Linked DNA regions of Mus musculus. The protein of the gene in region 1 interacts with the protein of each later gene in a pairwise test. Links are inferred from orthologs where the notes say so. Each region holds a gene or a part of one and is shown on either strand. Other genes may lie near its edges.

Region 1 (4,497 bases):
TTGAACTCCAATCCCTTGATGTGACAAGCAGGCTGTCTACCACTGTGATCTATATTCCAAGCTGTTTTTAGAAACAGAGTTTCCCTGTGTAGTCCTAGCTGGTCTAGAACTCCCTACTCCAGAGGTCGTCCTGAGTATTAACAAATGTATACCAGCACCCCTGGCTTCACGAACTAATTCCTGAGTCATCTTTCCATCTGTGAAAGTCACTGGCCCTGTGACGGCAGTTATGAATACTGACCATCAGTGCTGATGGTTAATTTGTTGTAGTCTACCAGTTTGTTCATCCATTCTAGTACTAAACGACTGTGTACTGTAAAGATTTTTGGGAATTATACTTTAAATAGATGTACTCTTGTTTTAATATCTTACAAAGTTGGTGAGTCAAAGCATGTATGATGTCAGGAAATAAAAACCTTTTTTTCTTTTTTGGGGGGGAGGGTGGGTTTCAAGACAGGGTTTCTCTGTATAGCCCTGGCTGTCCTGGAACTCACTTTGTAGACCAGGCTGGCCTCGAACTCAGAAATTCGCCTGCCTCAGCCTCTGCCTCCCGAGTGCTGGGATTAAAGGCGTGAACCACCACGCCCGGCTTAAAAACCTTTTTTCTTAAATGACTGTGTTCTTGCTAGTAGGATTTGAATGTTCTGTTTAGTCTTCATTCACACTAAGACTGATACTCTCAGGTTTTTTGTTTTGTTTTTTTATCATAGTTTTTATATATACTTCCTTTTGATTAATGAGAGCTTATGTTGTTTTGTTCATTTGATTATCTTGATTTGTTAGTGACTATTAAGATGTTTTACCCATTTCAGTTGGATTGTCATTTGTTACTGTTTTGTTGGAGTTTTATATCTAATTTGGAACATTCACGTTTGAGTCTGTGTTACATGGTTGTGAATTCTTACTAGATCTTTCTTTCCTTTGCAAGATTAAACTCAGGACATGAGTCTTATTTGGCTAAGTATCTCTCAGGTTCCTAACATATCCTAAGTAGCCTTCATGTTTGTGAGTCTATATGTATAATGTATTTCCTGTGAGTTAATATGTGTTTCCAGAACCCTTTGCAAAGCAAAACCTTGTCATGAGGTTGTTGACTTACAAAATTGGTTCTAGTTTAATTTTAGAGGTACAGATGGAGAAGCATTTAAATGGTTGCAACTCTTAAATGAGACAAATATAAAGGTAAAGGAGTGGCCACATCAAGGAGTGGTGGGTAGTCATCATGGGGATGCAAAGGATAGTAAGGAGGTAAAATATTTAAGAGCCTATTCCTAATTACCTGGGTGTGGAGAAGAAGAGAAGGTGTGGATACTTTTGTGTATTGCATATCTTTCCTAGAACAAGTAAAAGATTGCTTGATAAAACAATAATTGAGATCAGAAGTAAATGGGAATGACATTGATTTTCAAATATTTGTGTAGACAGGATATTTTGTGTAAATTGAGTGCTTCCTATATTGGTTTCTTTTCTTTTACAGTGTGTGTGTGTGTGTGTCTGTGTCTGTGTCTGTCTGTGTCTGTATATGGACAAACTCACGCAGGTGATCCTGGGTGGTGAATCAATGCCTTTATATACATATACACTACACCAGTGTTCTTCTACTGACCTGTATATCTAGCCCTATGACGCTTTCTTTAAGTAAAAATGGTGGGTGGGGGGCCCTAGGGTGCATTGGTTAGCACAGCACATGCATGGAGGTCAGAGAACAAAGGAGCACTTTGTGAGGTCATTTCTCTTCATTTTTGTGTGGCATTCAGGGATTGAAACCTGTTCTCCTGACTTCCCAACACATACACAGACACATACTTTTTCAAAATAGTTTCGTGAAGTATGGTTTTTAAATAAACTGAAGAATTTAAATATTCATTAAGTTTTTTTTTTCTTGCAGATTTATAATGAAAAAGAATTATTACAAGGAAAATTAGATCTTCTTAGTGATACCAATATGGTGGATTTTGCTATGGATGTTTACAAAAACCTTTATTCTGATGATATCCCTCATGGTAAGTTTGTTTTTCATTTTTTATTGGTTATTTTATTTATTGATATTTTAAATGTCATCTCCCTTCCCAGTTTCCCCTCCATAAACCCCCATCCCCTCCCCCTGCCTCTATGAGGGTGCTCCCCAACCTGTCCACCCACTCTGTCTCGGCACTCCTGCATTCCCCTACCCTAGGGCATCAAGCCTCCACAGGACCAAGGGCGCTCCCCTCTCATTGATGCCAGATAAAGCAGTCCTCTGCTACATATCCAGCTGGAGCCATGGGCTACATATACCACCTGCCATGTGTACTCTTTGGTTAGTGGTTTAGTCTGTGGGAGCTTTGGAGTGGGTCTCGTTGGTTGATACTGTTGTTCTTCCTATGGGGTTGCAAACCCCTTCAGTCCTTGCCCTAACTTCTCCGTTGGGGTCCCTGTGCTAAGTCAGATGATTTGCTGCGTGCATCCTCATCTGTATTGGTCAGGCTCTGGCAGAGCCTCTCTCTCAGGGACAGCTATACCAGGGTCCTGTCAACAAGTGCTTCTTGGCAACAGCAGTGGTGTCTGGGTATGGTGTCTGCTGATGGGATGAATCCCTAAGTGGGGCACTCTTCTGGATGGCCCCTTTCTTTCAGTCTGTGTTCCACTCTTTGTCCCTGCACTTCCTTTTGACAGGAGAAATTCTGGATTAATATTTTTGAGGTGGGTGGGTGGTCCCATCACCTCATGGTAAGTTTTATTGTTAGAACTAAAACTTGACAGTAGCTGAAAATTTATGTTTTATGATACGTGGAAGAACTGTAGCCAAAGACATTTAGTGCTTGTGTTCTTAAAGTCATTGGATGAAAAGGCATAGGAAGGTTACAAAGATGCTAAGGGGTGTTTTCTTCCTGTGAAATCTGAATGGACTTTAAACATGTTGATCAGATAGATATCTTCAGATCATAGTGTGTGCCATCAAAGTGGTACTCTATGTAAAAGTTGTATTAAATTCTGTCAAAGTTGTATTCTATAGGCTGTCGGCTTAGGATTTTCTGACGCTGCTGCAATTTTTTGGTCTCAATGAGACTTCTCAAGGTGTGGTCACTAAGACTAGCATCATGAATTAGCTTGGAAGAATTCCTTAGAAACACAGATTTTACACATAGTCCAGAAGTGTTTGATTAGGAATGGCTGAGGCCCTGAAGTAAAGTTGGGAAACTATTAGGAGAGTGGTTTCCAAACTAGTTTAGTACAGGAGATAATTGTTGACAATGAAAAGAACAGAAAACTGGTCCCTGAAGTATTACAAGCTGGGTGTGGTGGTACACACCTCTAATCCCAATACCCTGGAGGCATAGGCAGGTGATTTTTCTGAGATTAAAGATAGCCTGATCTACTTATCAAGTTCCAAACCTGCCACAGTTATGTAGTGCCTTGCCTCAAAAAATACTATAGCTTCCACCTCACCCCCGCCCCACCTCCCCCTGTGCATGGAACAAATTCTGGCTACAGCAGAGTGTTCTTTGTTTAAAATTGCTATTTTTCAGTATTTGATAACAGGTTCCTCCCATCCAGCAACCCCCCTTTTTTGGATATGAGCTTGGAAGGTTTTCTGGGGTTTTTTGATTATTAACATATGTCTTAAGCACAGAGGTTTATAGAGAAATGTGTAGGGAAAGAAAAGGGCAGCCTATGTTATGCCAGAGGTGGCTCATAGAGTAAAGCGTTGGCTGCGGACGCCTTATAACCTGGATTTGCTCCCTGGAGCCTCCAGTAGAAGCGAGAACCAACCCCAGTGCTCACAGATACTCCCCATCAGTCACCCAGAGAGTAGCTACATTTAACATTCAGTTTGGAATAAAAGCAGTGACCATGTGTGGAGAAAGAAGCACTGCTCTAGGTTAAGAGGGCTATGTAATGCAGACATTGTTGAAGTCAGTTAGCCTTTTTGAATTTGTACGCAGCAACTATTTAACGTTATTTTGTGATGCAAGTAAAGGGTTTTTTTTTTTCCTGGATTTTTGTATTTTTTTAATTATGTGTATGAATGTTGGCCTGCCTGTATGTTTGTACACCGTGTGTGTGCCTGGAGCCTTAAAAGGCTAGAAGAGGGCTGAAAGGGTTTGCAGCCCCATAGGAGGAACAATATGAACTAACCAGACCCCCCAGAGCTCCCAAGGACTAAACCACCAACCAAAGAGTACACATGGTGGACTCATGGCTCCAGCTGCCTATGTAGCAGAGGATGGCCTAGTCAGTCATCAATGGGTGGAAAAGCTCTTGGTCCTGGGACGGCTCTGTGCCCCAGTGTAGAGGAATGCCAGGACCAAGAAGCAGGAGTGGGTGGGTTGGTGAGCAAGGGGAGGGGCTGGAGATTTTCAGAGGGGAAACCAGGAAAGGGGATAACATTTGAAATGTAAATAAAGAAAATAATCTAAGAAAAACAGAAAAAAATCTGAGGTATTGTGCTAATAGATATTGTGTAGATTTTATCTTTATTTTGATGGTGGTATAGTAAATAGGATCTATGGAATT
Region 2 (3,600 bases), on another chromosome or scaffold:
CGCCTGTCCTTCCTTCCCTATGATGGTCCAGTTAGATCTTGACAGCGTTCTTTTCTGAATTATCAAGGGGGTTTATCTGCAACCAAACAATCACTCTAATGATCAAATTTAGAAATGAGACAGGTTCTTTAAGCAAGAACCCAAACGAGCCCAATCAGGGTCCCTGGGAAATTGTAGAAGTGGGTCCATGTAAGACACTGTCTAGGGAGGGAAAACTAGCTCTAAGGAGGCTAGTACTCAGTCACGCAAAAAGCCGGAGTCCTTTCTAAGAAACATGGGCAGTGGGCTACTGGGCACCTCCACCAGTGACAGGAAGAGGTCAGGGCTTGCTTTGCCCTTGGGCTGAGACTGGCTCCTGGTCCCAGCATTGAGAACACAGGTTTCAGGTTCTGAGAAGTGCTGGGTCAGAAGTTAGGGAATCTTTCCATTTTTAGGAAAGAGAATGTGCTGAGACAGTAAGCAAGGGTTTTGTTTTGTTTTGTTTTGTTGTTTGTTCGTTTGTTTCATCTTAAATTCCAGGTCTGCAAAATTTCTTTGGAATATAGTGAACATGAACCACATTTATCTTTAGAAATTACTAGGTATCAAAACCTTCCTGGGTAATGAGTCCCCAGGGGGCATGAAATAAACATTGATTGTAGAAGAAGTGAAGGAGCAGGATCAAAAGATGGGCAAGAGTTGGTGAGCAGGAGAAATGAACCACACATCACCTTCCTGTGTCTGCCTGTCACCTCTGAATCTCCCACTGAGCCTTGGAGCTGGCTGTTTACTGATTCTTCATACTTCCCAGAAACACTAACAACCCAGAACTCTCCTAAAGGACCGAGGCTCCATATTGTTGTTGTGGAGACCTGTCCTAGGACAAGGATTTTTACCAAAGAGGCTAGCAAGGTGTTTCAGAGGCACTGGTGCTTAGATGAGGAGAGCTACCATCTCCTCTTTACAGTAGTAACTGGAAACATATATGGGAGATACTATTATTTCTTCCTAAAAATAGTATCAACTAGACAAGTATAAGGGAAATACTATTGTATCCTCCTTAAGATAGTATTAACTGGAAAATTATGTGGGAGGAAACAACTTCAACAAATACAGAACCAACTGCCTTTAAAAAATAACCACTACTCCCACTTCTTTTCCATTCACGGTTCCAAGACTTTCTTTTCTCCAGCGATATTCTTCACCATAGCTGAGTTACAGCCACCCAAGGCAATCAGCCACAGGCCACAACCAACAAACACTCTCGCAGAAACCAGCACAGAAGTGACTCCTGGAACACCCACTTCCTCTACATTCATCGCGCAAATGTCTATACCAGGATGGAAAAGTAGACATTCAGAGTCGATGGAGATGGAATTATTTTGTTTTGCATTTAAGGTTAATTATGGTTCTGGGAGTGGGTAAAAGTCCCCCTGATATCTGCCTGGTATTACTGGAAAATTCTGCATTGGTGATATATATATATATATATAATCTCACCTCATCAGGGCTGTCCAGGCTACAAAGACCCAGGCGATTGACCTGGTAGATATTTGTCTATTAAATATTTACAGCCTGCGACCATTTAGCTCTCTCTCTTTGGCGCCCACTTTCCTAGTCCCAGGCTCTTGCGGAACACCACAGCGTCGTTGTCCCTTCATGCACCCTCACCATCGCCATAGACCCAACCCCAGAACCCAAGGACATTTCAAAGAAGGGCGGGGGCGATCAAATTCCTTTCCCGTTTTAATCAATAAAACCCCCCTAGAAGCGTAAATATGGTGACCCCGGGACACAGGGAGATGGGAAGATCTCTTACAATTTGTCCAGGTTTAAGTTCCCAGGAACAGCAGAGAGCTCAGGAATTGGGAGTTTAAAAATAAACCATTTTACCCAACCAGCACCAGCGCCTTTAGTTTGGAAACCTGTTTCTTGTCGCCACTCTTAGCATGCCTAGGTTGAATTCCGTGACTTCTCCTGAAGTCATCAAATCATCCATTGCCTTGCCTCATAGTTCCTCCTCGCGTCCCCTTGAGAGAAGGGGAGCCCAGAAGCAAAGTCGGGACTCCCGCCCAGGACCAGCCCTCTTCCCGGAGGAGCCCGGCGCAGTCCCGGACCGTACTTACCTGCGGCGGGGCGGCGGCTCCAGAGTCGCGGCGCCCATGGCTTCGTGGGCCTCGGGCGTCCGCGCTGGGACACGCGAGTGGGTCAGCGACGCCCGGAGCCTGTCGCGCTGCAGCCTCAGCCCGGGCTGCGGTCATTGGGCCGCCGCGTCACGTGGACGGGGAGCGGGCGAGCCTCCCAGGCAAGGGTAACCCTTTACCTGCGCCTTGGCCCGCGTGCGCAGGCGACAGGGACAAGGGGACGTCCGGTGATCTATGTTTGAGTGAGTGGTCAGCGAGCCAGCCCGCATTAGTTGCTAGATCGAGCGCACATTGCTTGTCGCCCGCCCGATGGCTAGACAATCTGCTCAGACGCTGCAGTGACGGTCGTTCCTAGGGGCTACAAACTTGCCTGTGCCCCAAAGGCTATTAGTGGGACACGTGAAAGAACCCCGGTTTCAGACCCCTTCCCTTGGAGTGTCAGGATATGGGACACTTCACCCAACACACTTTACCTACGAAGGGTAGAGAACCGGTGCTTTAATCTTGAAATTCGGTTTAAGATTTCGGTCTTCGGTCCACCTGGCCCAGAAGCTGTGGAGAGCTGGCATTTCCAGAAGCCAGGAAAATGTGTTGAGCAATTGCGCCATCTAGCTTCCTCTCTTTCCTCTCCATGCTCAAGGCTCGCAGTGAGAGGATTAAAAGGCAATGCGGGGAGAAGCAACTGAGAGAACTTCCCAAAGACCTAATTTTCTCCAGCGAGTTTTGAGTTGGACATCCCCGCTGTCTTCACAGGCATTTGCCACGCTCTATGGGAGAACACTCAGTGGTTTTTTTGTCCTTTTTAGTGCTAAAATACCTTTGTGCTTTCAAATGTCGATTTACGAGGGAAATCATACGTTGTTGAATGTCATTTATTGATTTGAAGAAAAAAATTTCTTGTTAGAATAAATGATGCTCAGGTTCAATTTCCAGCCTTGTCAGAAATTCCATGGGATACTGGTCCATTTATATATGAATTAGGTTTTTCGGATCAAAAAGAGACTTTGGAATTTGTTTTGGGTTTTTAGAGTCAGTGGGGAGAAACTTTGAGGTTCAACTCAGTAGTAGTAAAGAGAGGAAGGTAAGAAACTTGATAATGCCTTTAGTTTTCTTTTAACTCTTGGGTATTTAAAGTTCTTTTAAAGTAATTGTTTTGTTGAGAACTACATACACAATTGCATCTGATTGTTGTTTACAATATCACCAAAGCTTTCCAATGCTGCCTGCCATGTTTAAAGATATTTTGGGGTGGGGGGAGGTATATATGGGAATTCTCAGATCAACGGTGTGTGTGTGTGTGTGTGTGTGTGTGTGTGTGTGTGTGTGTGTGTGTATGTGTGTGTGTGAAGGTATCTGGAGAGGTTCTCCAAGGTCGTGTTCACTCACCTGGGAATTCCCGAGCGGCACTAGTCCTTGGCTATTTCCTGCTCCAGCCACAAGGGTACCCCTTGCACGGGTACACAGGGAACTTATTTTC

The links.
Region 2: the proteins of Eif3e (region 1) and 0610040J01Rik interact in binary tests that used the Homo sapiens proteins (3 or more experiments, as listed by UniProt). The two-hybrid records come from large-scale screens. The link is inferred for Mus musculus from reciprocal best matches to the Homo sapiens genes EIF3E and PGCKA1.

Annotation. Positions count from the first base shown.
Region 1 is NC_000081.6:43,275,814-43,280,310, reverse strand, and holds part of Eif3e (eukaryotic translation initiation factor 3 subunit E), read left to right. Parts: intron 1-1,888; coding exon 1,889-2,003; intron 2,004-4,497. UniProt on the Homo sapiens protein: Component of the eukaryotic translation initiation factor 3 (eIF-3) complex, which is required for several steps in the initiation of protein synthesis.
Region 2 is NC_000071.6:63,811,101-63,814,700, reverse strand, and holds the start of 0610040J01Rik (uncharacterized protein C4orf19 homolog), read right to left. Parts: upstream 2,207-3,600; 5' UTR 2,106-2,206; intron 1-2,105. UniProt on the Homo sapiens protein: Acts as a tumor suppressor. Acts as a tumor suppressor for colorectal cancer cell proliferation by targeting KEAP1/USP17/ELK1/CDK6 axis.